Daphnia pulex: one gene and its partners. The protein of the gene in region 1 purifies or fractionates together with the protein of each later gene. This does not show direct contact. Links are inferred from orthologs where the notes say so. Each region holds a gene or a part of one and is shown in the gene's direction. Other genes may lie near its edges. The genes, in order: tetratricopeptide repeat protein 4-like, protein HGH1 homolog and erythroid differentiation-related factor 1-like.

Region 1 (4,392 bases):
TTGGGCCTTGAAAAAGAGTTGTTGATATTAAAGCGGAGTAAGCTAAAACGGATGCCACGAATAATTTGCCGGTTATTAAACATATGCCGAAAAGCAAAGATGGACTGGCAAACCAGCTGCTGAAGGATGGCTAATTATACCTGGACAGTATGCCCTCTTTTAAATTGGAATCTGGTGAATGATTGAAATATCCTTCATCACTCTTTGAATGTCTTTTTCATCGTTGATGAGCAAGGCATCTAAGCAGCCCTTGAAATAGTTGGTGGTGAAACAATTCTTCCTAATAACAGAGTTGCAACACACTTGCGTTATAGTTAATAATCTTACAGTCGTAACAAATGAATGTGTGTTGAATCTTTGTTCGATAAATGTTGCAAGTTCAATTAAGGACAAAATTAAACGGCGAGAAAAAACAAAAACTAATTTACCTGCACAGTGTGTGAAGCTCGGGTTCGCGATAGAGACTGTAGCAATCCTGGCAAATGCGGTCGAGACGAGCAAAAATGCTTTTGTCGTATAGCCCCTTGCAATTGATATCGAAGAAAGAGCGTTTTGACAAGGAGTGATGACCGCTAGATAAAGCAGACATGGCCGATGTTGGATAATACGGAAGAATGGCAAGCAAAACCACCAATAAAGTGGTTAGGCCCAAAAGAGATCGAATGGAGTAGGAACTGTGTGTTTGGCGTCCGTTCTGCTGCACTGCGGCCATGGTTTTCTTCGTTCTCCTAGAGCTTTTTCGATCTGTGAAAACAAATGATCCAGCTATTTAGAGCGGCTCAAATAGTCGGATGGGGAGTAACAGGAGAAAATTTTGCAACCTCTTCCTCCCTTTCTTATGAGTTTGCATCATTCTATTGAAGGACAAATGTACCCTCCTCTATTAGGGAAAGAGGAAAAGGCTAGTAACTATGGGGGAGGATATGTTCTCGATCAAGTTTGTGTTATACATAGCTATTGTAAAAACAGGATTAAATTGAGCTTCCACTTTTCACTGAGTGGCCAACTGATTTCGGCTAGTGCGATGCTAATTTAATTTTTAGAGTTACACAAATTCCATGGAGAAGTATGTAGTTAGGGGGTACTTTCAAATTGGAGAAAACGCGGTGCAACGGAACCGGAACAGAACACAACGAATGAACTAAACCAATTAGGGGAATACTGAAAAGGGGGTGTAGCATATATGACAATACGACAATCGGTTATACTTTACCCCCTTTATTTTCTATTTTTTCCCTCGTTTTGTTTGATTTCTCTTCCCTTGGACATCTAGCGGTGGAAATTAGATACTATAAATAGCACATATGATTTGATAATACATGCACGAATTCTTGGGAGTCCTTGATCTTTTTTCACATCTTTCGTGTTTTTTGACCGATGAAATCATTGGTATAAAAAGACAATCACGCAGCATGGAAATATTATATGAATTTGGTGACGATTTCCATACAAGTCCCTTCTCTTAGTTTAATTGTATTCCGTTACGCCACGTTGTCGCCAGTGTGGCGACCACCTTCAAAATTTGCTTCTCGCCTGATCGCCAGTCGTCATCTCTCCTACCGAACCAACAAGTTGTGCACGATCAAACAGTTTATTGGGACCGTTAATCGGTTCGAAATCAATATGGACACCTCAATTTTGGGTAAGTTAAATCCTCTATTTGATTGTATTTTTCTTCTCTGTTTGACTGTGGTCTGAGACAGCTATTCTACTCTGGGTAATAGTATTGAAATCGTTTGTGAACAAAAATTCTGGTTGAGAAATGTAGCCAAAAGTAAATAGTTGAAAACAAACTAATATTATTTCCCAATTGTTAAATTCTTGTTAGTTCTTCTCAGAAAAAAGCCAGCTGTTAAATTCTTGTCAGTTGTTGTCAGAGAAGAGCCAGAAAAGCTCATCAATCGACGATTAGATCAGAACACGAATTCGTATTCCAAAAGTTAATCTATTATTAAGAAAATTGTGACTCGCGTCACTCATTGGCGACAGATTGTGCCACTACTACATATTTAACTAGAAAAATTTGATTGTAGACTAAGCCGTCAAAAAGGCGCTTCCGGTTGCATTAACTTTCTTATTTGCAGAATTTTCTGTTTACCTTTGTTAATTTCGCAAATCCTTCGCTTGCACGTGGGATTTCTTGATTTCTTTGATTTCTCGAAAGGGAACTGACACTCTTTGTTGTTCAAAGTAAAGGAAGTATTTTAAAACTGTAAGAATACTGAGTAATCACGAGAATAACCTCCACTTTTATACTAGGCGTGCGTAGGTGAGTCACGTGATTCTGCCCCCCGGTGATCCGATGGATTACAGCCCTTTCTTACCTGGTTATTCCCATTCACCATGTTATTGTCGGTAGAGAGAACTCCTCCTCATATTTTTCCGCCTCCTTCTTTCTTTCTCTCTGCTCTATACTCAAGCGTAAAACATTTTGTTTTTATCACAAGTCACGTTTTGATGGCGTTTGTATATGACGCAACAGGTTTTTATCAATTAAAATGCCTCTTTAGATAGCTAATAGATAGCTGCTAAAACAATAACATTGGGTGTTTAACATTCCAAATCTGCATTGGGGTTGAATCTGATCAGACAGAGCCCAGGTCAGTAATTATAACAGACTCGAATTTCTATATGTGGCAAAGTAGAATAAAGGGCGATGGCTCTAGTTTAATCTGACGGTACCCACATAGCGAGACTTACCCTAGTCTTTATTCTCAATCCTCGGCCCTTATCAAAATTCTGAATATTTAAAACCATATAGTCTCCCGCTTTCGATTTCCTGCTGCGAATGTGTCATATTCACGTTTAAATAGGTGACAAAGTAACTGTTCTTATTCATATTGCCTTGTATAGTTGCTAATACTAAATCACCCGCCTCGGATTTGCTGCTAGATCGGCCTCATTTCTAGATATTATAATGTGTCTAGCTGATAAGCCTTTGGGTTAGTTTGATTTCACAGAAAAAAAAGAGGACGTGAAAAATCAAAATTCAGAAAACCGATGTGTTGTTTGTTTTGTTACGACTTCTTGAAATACTATGTTAGTTAATATTATACGGCTTTAATGAAACCTGTTAGATAAGTTAACGAGAGACACCCTTATTATTTTCTGGCCTTTACCAGAAGAAAGCGACTTCCAAAGTGCATTGTCATACCCAAAAACCTTTGGTCATCACACTATTCGAGGGAAACTGAAATTAGGAAACTGAAATTGCTTCAAGCATTACGTGATCGTCATCTTGGGAATCCTGTGGATACGTGAATGGAAAACGTGTTGGCGTGCTGACGCAAGATAAAAGAACCTTTAAGTTCCTCTATTCTTATGGGGTGGAATTCCCAGGTGTCCTCTGTCAAGTTACAAAACCCATTGTTGCGCAACAAGCCGAGAGTTATTATTTTGTATTTCCCACACGACACTGGACTTATTTTATGGATAGACTGAAGCCGAGGGTCATAGAACATCAAAACGCGTTACAATCTCCGTACAATCAACACTAATGGCAAAAATGAACGCCCTGATTATTTCCGTGACCAAATTATCGTTTCAAATAGTATCAAATTTTAAACAGGAAAAATAGCGTAAATCTAGAGTGATCTAGAGTAAAATTCAAGTTGAGTATTCGAACGAAGCAAAATGCTATGTGAAAGTTTTCTCTTCAATGTATCAAGGTTTAATTTTTACCGAAATTGAAATGTGCAAAAAAAAATTCCGCTATCAGGAATGAGATGGGGTAACTACGACGAACAACTGAAATTACTAACATGCCATTTTTACATTGCAAAATTATGAAAGAACTCTTTTTTTTAGAAATTCAAAATGACATTTCAAGTAAAACTATAAAATTTTGCCATAACAATACCATCTACTCTGCTATACCATAAGCTTTTAACAGAAAATGACAAATATAAATTTCTTTATTTACCAGATGAGGAAAGGAGGTGAGTAGATCGCACGAGGTTCCCGTACCGGATGATGTAGGCGCACACTCTGATACTCTTCGGATGCTGGATGGACTTTATATAGTGACGAAGGGACAGACGAGTTGCTATGGTGTACAAGGAGTAGCAACAAGCAGACTCAATTGGTGAAATCATCTTTGTAAACGACCAGTATGTGCCATAGATTCAAATAGCTGGGTGAATTCTATAGCTGATTCGTCTTCTTTGGAGAAATGGAGTAGAATAATTCGCGATGTTTCCAACGGCAGCAGCGATCTTAAGCTTAAATTGCAAGTAACCACCTTCTTAAATTTCCTTCTTCTATCCTCTATTGATTTTCAGTAGCCTAACACTTAACCTTTTTCATTTATTTACGCTCAGGAAACTAGTTTAGCATCCTAATACAGAGGAAGAAAGTGAATGTGCCAACATAATTAGAAGCTGTTAAGTTAAA
Region 2 (3,286 bases), about 2.6 Mb from region 1:
TAAGTTTTGGCGTTTTAGCGATAGAGTCCCTGTCAAGATTTTTTGAAATTTTCGCCCAAACAAAGAAGCGTCTGCTAGCAAAACCAAAGACAAGAGCTCACGAACGACAAGAAAAGGGAGTTAAAGCAAAAAGGACTTCCCAAGTCGAAATCAACTAGTGATGGGGTAACATTTCATATCAAGGACTATTTGATGAGCTTGACGTGGGGTTTTGCTTATGCAAATCTGCATCTGCAAACGATTATTTATTCCATACAGACAAATATGGCGAGAATGCTTTATTGCCTTTGACTTGTGTTTAAAATGGCGAGGGATGTCGGACATTTTGGCAAAAAAAGAAGAAGAAATGCTTGTGTAGGGAATCTATCTATTCATAGCACGTGAAGGAAAAACGTGACTGGTTCGCAAAAAGAAAAAACTATCAAGGTCGGCGAATAAATGTACATAAATTTTAGAGCTTAAATGAACCGTACGGGTAAGACGCCACCCTCTAATCTTGCACACACTAGATATAAATAAGAGAATAATCAAGGTTACAAACTTACCAATAGTTGACTGGTGGCGTACATGCTCCAGGATCGGTTTCGATTAATGATTTGATAGCCTTTTAATCATACCAGCATCAAATGTTTACCACACGGACTTGGATTTTTTAGGGGGCCGCCATGTTTGGATGAACCACTACACTAGTCCAAGGTTGCCATTGCAAACGAAATGGTTACTTTTATGGTGATACATTTCACTCTGCGACTCTGAGAGGGTTTCCTGTTTGTTGATGGATTTCTTACAACAGCGGTTGTAACTTCTTATCATCCTTTGCAATCTAAAAGACGCAGAAACAGATGAGGATAGTTTCATACCAACGAAATCGACGAAAACACTTATATTTACATTGCAAGCCGTTTCAATGCTGGGATCGAATATATCGTAAATTTACGAGAAAAACTTGCACGATGTTCAACGATAGCCATTTAAGAAGCGGGGTCACTCAATAGCTATTTTGCATTTGCCCTTTGGTCTTTGGGTTTTTCGCAATTTTGTTTTACATTTTGAAATAACGTGGATTCAACCGTCACTGACACAAGCCAGTCAAAACTAAAAATGATAAGTAATGCGCCTACGCCATCTAGATGTCAGATTTGAAATCACGTATATAGAAATCGTCTGCTGTTGTTTGAAACGTCGTTCGGCACATGTAGTTCATATGGAATTGTTGATGTAAAATGTCGGAAATCGAAGAATTATCTCAATTTCTTACGCTAGAAACGCGACTAGATGTTAAAGCTCTAGCTCTTCAACAGACGCTAGGTATTTATCCAAATATTGTAGTATTAATAAGTATTTATTTTTTGTATTATGCGTGTATCATAAAGGATTGACAGGAACAGCAGATGGAAGGCAAATGTTGATTAACACAACCTGTGTTGTCAAAAATTTATGTAAACTTCTGAATGATTATCAGAAATCTGTTGCGAAAGATGCTAGTTTAGCTCTCATCAATCTGTCTGCCGATGAAGATTTGACGTCAACCCTAGTTACAGAAGGAACTGAAATTATCGAAAACATGTTGAACATCATCACCAATCCAGAACACGAACTTGCAGACCCTGCTTGCATGGTGTTGTCAAACCTTTCACGGACAAAACTTGGAAGTGAAAGGCTATTCCAGACTATGGGAGAAAAATTAGAAAAATACATTGACATTTTCTGTCAAGAAAAATACAATAAAAAAGGTGCCCGTCTCCACTACCTTGCAGCTGTATTTTCCAATTTGAGTCAAATTCCAGCAGTTAGAAGGTATTCAAACCAAAGTACTTTTTGACAAAATTATTTTTTTTTTTTTTTTACAATTTTACTACCTTTTTTCTAGTTACATATTAGATCCATCAAGAACTTGTCTTCAGAGGTTAGTTTCTTTCACAGATTACAAAGATTCCACTACAAGAAGAGGAGGTATTCTCGGACTTATAAAGAACTGTTGTTTTGAAACTGGTAAGATGTTTGTCAAAAGTAAACTGTTGTACAAACCTACAAATTAATTCTAACCTTCAAATGCAGACCACCATGACTTTTTATTGAGTGATGCAGTTGATTTACTCCCAAAACTACTACTGCCTCTAGCTGGCCCTGAGGAATTTGATGAAGAAGATAATGATAAACTACCTATCGATTTGCAATATTTGGGCGAAGAGAAAACCAGAGAGCAAGACCCCGACATCCGTAAAATGCTTTTGGAGGCTCTAACTCAGGTACCATTATTACGTCCTTGAGTAGAGTTTATTAAAAGACTTAGCAAATGTTTTAAAAAGTTATGTGCCACAAAATATGGGCGTGAATACCTGCGCTCCAAAAACACTTACGTCATCTTGCGTGAACTTCACAAATGGGAAAAGAACGACAATGTTTTAGCGGTTCTTGAACATTTGGTCAACATTGTGATTAGGTATTATATAGTCTGTAATTATTTTTTCATGACGCAGTTAATAATTAGATCCATAAAAAATTTTAGGTTTGAGCACGAAATCGGTTACGACAATCTCAAGAAAGAAGTTGAAGTGCCCGAAGAAATTACTGAAAAATTTAATGCTTTAGAGCCCGCTTTGTGATCCGCTTTATAAGAGCACACCAATAAACTATGGTTTATCTTGTTATTTATTGAGTTCAGAGACAAAAAGATTAACACTGTACACTTCATATAATTTCTTAATGGCTATAGTTAAACACTTTGTTATTATTATTTTTTATTTTTTTTGTCCTTACTCGCTTTCGATAAATAGATTAAACCGCTCCTCATCGACGTCTCTATACTCAGCCGTAGAGATGCGGGAGGCCCTGTTCAATATTACACCATTCCCATTTTTTATTGCCTTTTTTTTTGTAAGAAGGAAGAAGAATTAATATCTTGAAATGGGGTTAAGCATTTAGCCATTAAAAAAAAAAGGAAAAAACATGTTCGTGGCCCATGTTTATGGTAAATAACCAAGCGAATTCTCTAATTCACTTCGTTTCGAGAACCCATTCTTAGTATTCCGGGCTGCGCCTCGATAATGCATCGAGCTGTAAGCGTCATCAGTTGAGAGCTCCGAGGCGGTATCTTCAGTAACTTCGCTATCGTCAATGACAATATCGGTTGTTTGGTTAAGCTTGATATTCGAAAACATGGCCGCTATTTCAGTCGTCTTCTTGGCCGACAACGCACCTTCCGGCACTGCCTTTGTGACGGAGCGGTGATGATGTTGACTATGGTGAGTCGAACCAGCTGATGATGTGCCTCGATAAACAATTT
Region 3 (4,112 bases), on another chromosome or scaffold:
TTAACCTCACGTATATACACACACAGACACACAGGAGGTATCAAAGGGGGGGGGGGGGACGATTGGACTCGGCGGGGCGGAAAGAACAGAAAATAAAGGGCGCACGACCTATTCTTTTTGCCATCCAGCGTGACCCCCTCTCGTGCCACATCTAACAAGTTCCGAGTTTTTCATTCGCCCATTCCGTTTTTTCTCAATCGATAGATAAAACGAAATCATCACAAAGTGGGAGAGAGCTCGGGGAGGTCGATATGCTTGTCTTAACTTGTGTGTGTGTATATTGTACAACTACTACCTTGATTTTCCTAAGGAGTTTAGTTCAATCGGTTTTTTGGCCGCGCTTGATCGTGTCGTGAATTGACCGCCCTCCTCCCACGCACTCCTGTGTCCGTTCTCTGCTGCACTTGACAGAAAAGTCGACGTGAAGGACACGCAACGTCGATCCTATGACGTATAGACTTCTCAAGGCACTCACTCTGATTAGAATGGCTTTCCAAGAGACTGAACTTTTATTAATGGCCATGCGTTCCAGCCATCTCGGCGGGACCACCTCTCTCCCTGGCTGATGCCGCATAATGCCGGAAGATTGAAAGTCTCCGCATTCAACGATCCAGTCGGATGCTCTCACCAAGGCCGTCTGCTATTTTGTTTTTTGGCTGTTGCTTCCTGTCATATTTTTTTCTGTTTTTTCTCCCGAGTTCTTAATTAGGTAACGTAGCTCGTCAACACAGTGGTATAGGTGCCCCCCTCCACCCTTTTCTACGCTTCCTGGCAAATAGACGGACTAATTGATGAGCGTCGGTTGATTTGTTAGAATCAGTAAAAAAGAGGCGAGAGAGATAGAGAGGAAAAGAAACGAAAATTTTGGACGGAATCCAGGCAAGTTTACCATATTAACTTACCTCTCAACTGGCCAATTGACGACGAAGTCGGTGAATCATGACGTAAATGTGTTGTTAATAATTTTTTTTTCGAGTTCAATCAATGGGAGGAGGTAACACAAGGAAAACTGGAGGCGTGTTTCTCGTTGTCGGTACTGTGCAACATGAGTGTACCGACTGTGGAGATGTTACACTATTCACTGCTCCGCCGGAGTTTTCCGTCCAGGAAAAAACCGGTGAGTTCTATAGCGATTGCGCTGTTCATAGTCCCCGCCTCGGCCTCAACGCAGCAGTTTGGAACTTTTGGTTGTAAAACAAACGGAACCAACATCCCCTGGTGGCTTGTAGATATTCGCAGTACATAACAACGGATATTTGTTCTACTAATTATTATTATTCCCTGCATTAACAAACATGATTACTCGTTTGCCAGTAAGACAATCAAATAAAACTACTAGGAATGAGCATTCTAGAAGAAAGCTTCACGCCAACTTGACGTCTAATAATAGCAGTCAGCCTAGCAAGAAGAGGCATCTGTTATTATTACCCGACTGTTTTGATCCTTCGAAAGTGCTGGAATTGACTGGAAAAACGTGTTGATTGAGTTCTCCCGCAGTGTCGGGTGTCGTTTTTTTTTAGTTGACATTATGGAGTCGTGCGAAGAGGACGACGAAAAGGAGAGAACATTGCAGATGAGTAGCCCTGCGAACGATTTGACGATTGATATTTATCGTCCACTTCTTAGCAAAGATTCTGAACATGAAAACGAAGGAAAGAGAATCAAATCATTTGCTTTTGATTTGCATTCGACAGTCAGTATTCCTCCACGATTATCTTTATTACAGAGCAACACCGACTTGAACACACCACCAGCTAATTGGTTGCTAAGTCATCCTAAGAAGATAGTTGGGCCAGCTGTTTCCAGGAATCCAAAGTCAACAGAATTTGCCAGTTTTCACATGGCTTCATCTTTTTTAGATTCCATGGGTGAAGTTGATGTGGTGAGTGATGCAGAAAATATCAAGAAGCTTCTGAAGATACCGTACAGCAAAAGTGCTGTCAGTATGATGGTTCATCGTGTTGGAAACACACTGCTGCTCGATGAATTTGACATCCACACTCACCTTCTGAGAGCAGCTGAAAACGAATGGGGTTGGCTGAAGAAGTTTTATTTGGAACACATTTTTGCCTCCTGTCGTGCTAAGCAAAAAGCCTCAGACAAGAAATCCAGCCGGCACAGTCGCGACTACCTGCAGCAACAAAACCTCATCTCAAAATTTCTCTATCACAGTATAGCCCTTAATGAGTCAGAAAATGCAGACACCCAAGTTCAGGACAGGAATCATCAAGTTCAGGTAAAATTGTGTACTATTTAAAGTGCTTATAATTTGAATTCTTAGTAACACAAGTCTTTTCCAGCCTGTAATTGATCCTCTTGGTGATCCTGTTCCAGAAGAAAGTCATGTTCACGATGATGCTCTTCCCCAGTTTTCTAAAAATATCATATGGACATTTGAAGATTTGCGGATGTTAATTGGTACAGATATGCCTATTTTTGGCGGTGGGACTCACCCGTGTCTTTCGCTTCGCTTAAGGTAAGCCTTAAGTCAAGCAAATTTACTTGATAGCTAAAATGAATAATTCTTTTATTTTGTCAATTGATCAGAGATATGTCGAAGCCAATTAATGTGCTAACAGGACTGGACTACTGGCTTGACAACTTGATGTGTATGTCATATACCTGCTATTTCTTTGTTTAACATCTTGTAACCGAGTTTTTTAATGATTATATTTGTAGGCAATGTTCCTGAAGTTGTGATGTGCTATCATTTGGGTAAATAGCGTCGCGCTACGTGAAAAACTGGAAAAATTGTTGTTAAATTCTTTTAATGGTTACAGGTGGTCTGGTCCAAAAATACGAGCTTATTAAAACGGACGATTTACCACGCCTACCGGGATCGCAGTTTAAGCCGGGTATTATTAAAGATGTCGCACAAAACATTCTCTCTTTCCTAAAGTCTAAAGCCACAAAAGCCGGCCACACTTATTGGCTGTTCAAAGGTAAAATAATTTTTACTTAAGCAATCAAGGAAATTATTCAAATTAAGATCTCACATTAAATTTTTCGTGTCTTCATCGTGAAACAGCAAAAGACGATGATATTGTGAAGCTTTACGATCTTACTTCGTTGTGCAATGATTTGAATGAAGACATCAACCAGAATCCATTTACGACACCAGTTGCCATGCTACTTTTCAAGTAAAATTGTTTGCCAATGCGAATTGTAAATTGTTTAATGAATGCGTATGTGTTTTTTTAGAGTGGCGCGAAATTTGAAAATGTCCAGCGACTGGAAGCGACATCAAGGCACTGTCTTAGCTCTTTTAAAGAACTGCTTATCCCTTCTTGATGCAACCAAATATCCACAGGTAGCAATATTTTTTAATAATATTTCTTGGTTTTTTTTTAAATGTCAGGTTCAATGCGTATTTTTTAGGTCGCCACGTCTGCTTTGTACTATTTATCTGACGTCTATTTGCCAACATCACTCAAAGTTCCAGAAGCCGAAGATACTTCTGAAGAGGTCGAAGAGGAATGGTCTGACGAATGGGAGGAACCCTCAACGGAAGATCACTTCTCGTAATTTTATTGTGTCGTAACAAACAGTTGAAACATTTTAAATAATTCACCTCTTTAAAATTTTGCTTCACAGTGCATCTGTCGACGTGGCGGCACTTTCGACTCCGCAACAGGTCCAGGCAGAGGAAGAGAACGTTCGTAGAAATGCGCGACCCACCGTTGGAGATAATTGGGAACAGCGCTGCACCTTTGCTCTTCAGCACGCAGTTGAAGCCCTTGAATTCCTCAGCAACAAGTGAGTTAAACCAAATATCTGAATTGGGAATGACATAATATTTATTTTCCATAAATAGGGGGAAAACTACAAAACCATCTGAAGAAGAACCCTCCTTGGCCACACCATTGAAACCCATTCCGATGCCATATCAGACATTAAAACAACCTCCTCTCGAGTAATTAATTTAATTGATCTTCAAGTAGTTTCTCCCCACATGTCTGACTAATAATTATCTTTGTGATCTAGTGGTGTCACTGGCTCACTGATGTTCAAGGAACCACAAAACGAGTGGAAGCAACAGTATTGGCGACTATTGATGGAGAAATGCCGTTTGGCTTACGTAACACTAGCCGATGAAGCCCGAAAAACCAGCC

The links.
Region 2: the proteins of tetratricopeptide repeat protein 4-like (region 1) and protein HGH1 homolog purify together in Homo sapiens (co-immunoprecipitation; 4 studies listed by BioGRID and IntAct, counting the BioPlex papers as one, with this or other methods). This does not show direct contact. The link is inferred for Daphnia pulex from reciprocal best matches to the Homo sapiens genes TTC4 and HGH1.
Region 3: the proteins of tetratricopeptide repeat protein 4-like (region 1) and erythroid differentiation-related factor 1-like purify together in Homo sapiens (affinity purification with mass spectrometry; 3 studies listed by BioGRID and IntAct, counting the BioPlex papers as one, with this or other methods). This does not show direct contact. The link is inferred for Daphnia pulex from reciprocal best matches to the Homo sapiens genes TTC4 and EDRF1.

Annotation. Positions count from the first base shown.
Region 1 is NC_060022.1:2,730,257-2,734,648, reverse strand, and holds the start of tetratricopeptide repeat protein 4-like, read left to right. Parts: upstream 1-1,512; 5' UTR 1,513-1,642; intron 1,643-2,259; exon of another isoform or gene 2,260-2,355; intron 2,356-3,922; exon of another isoform or gene 3,923-3,925; 5' UTR 3,926-4,084; exon of another isoform or gene 4,085-4,149; 5' UTR 4,150-4,232; intron 4,233-4,319; 5' UTR 4,320-4,392. Other genes in the region: crustacean hyperglycemic hormone-like, read right to left, coding at 429-712.
Region 2 is NC_060022.1:5,339,520-5,342,805, forward strand, and holds protein HGH1 homolog, read left to right. Parts: upstream 1-1,154; 5' UTR 1,155-1,223; coding exon 1,224-1,308; intron 1,309-1,373; coding exon 1,374-1,797; intron 1,798-1,870; coding exon 1,871-1,992; intron 1,993-2,058; coding exon 2,059-2,249; intron 2,250-2,309; coding exon 2,310-2,443; intron 2,444-2,509; coding exon 2,510-2,606; 3' UTR 2,607-2,651; downstream 2,652-3,286. Other genes in the region: bromodomain-containing protein DDB_G0270170-like, read right to left, coding at 2,967-3,286.
Region 3 is NC_060026.1:4,183,449-4,187,560, reverse strand, and holds the start of erythroid differentiation-related factor 1-like, read left to right. Parts: upstream 1-1,177; 5' UTR 1,178-1,528; coding exon 1,529-2,236; intron 2,237-2,300; coding exon 2,301-2,476; intron 2,477-2,547; coding exon 2,548-2,609; intron 2,610-2,679; coding exon 2,680-2,715; intron 2,716-2,780; coding exon 2,781-2,942; intron 2,943-3,028; coding exon 3,029-3,140; intron 3,141-3,201; coding exon 3,202-3,310; intron 3,311-3,378; coding exon 3,379-3,521; intron 3,522-3,594; coding exon 3,595-3,756; intron 3,757-3,814; coding exon 3,815-3,913; intron 3,914-3,984; coding exon 3,985-4,112. UniProt on the Homo sapiens protein: Transcription factor involved in erythroid differentiation. Involved in transcriptional activation of the globin gene.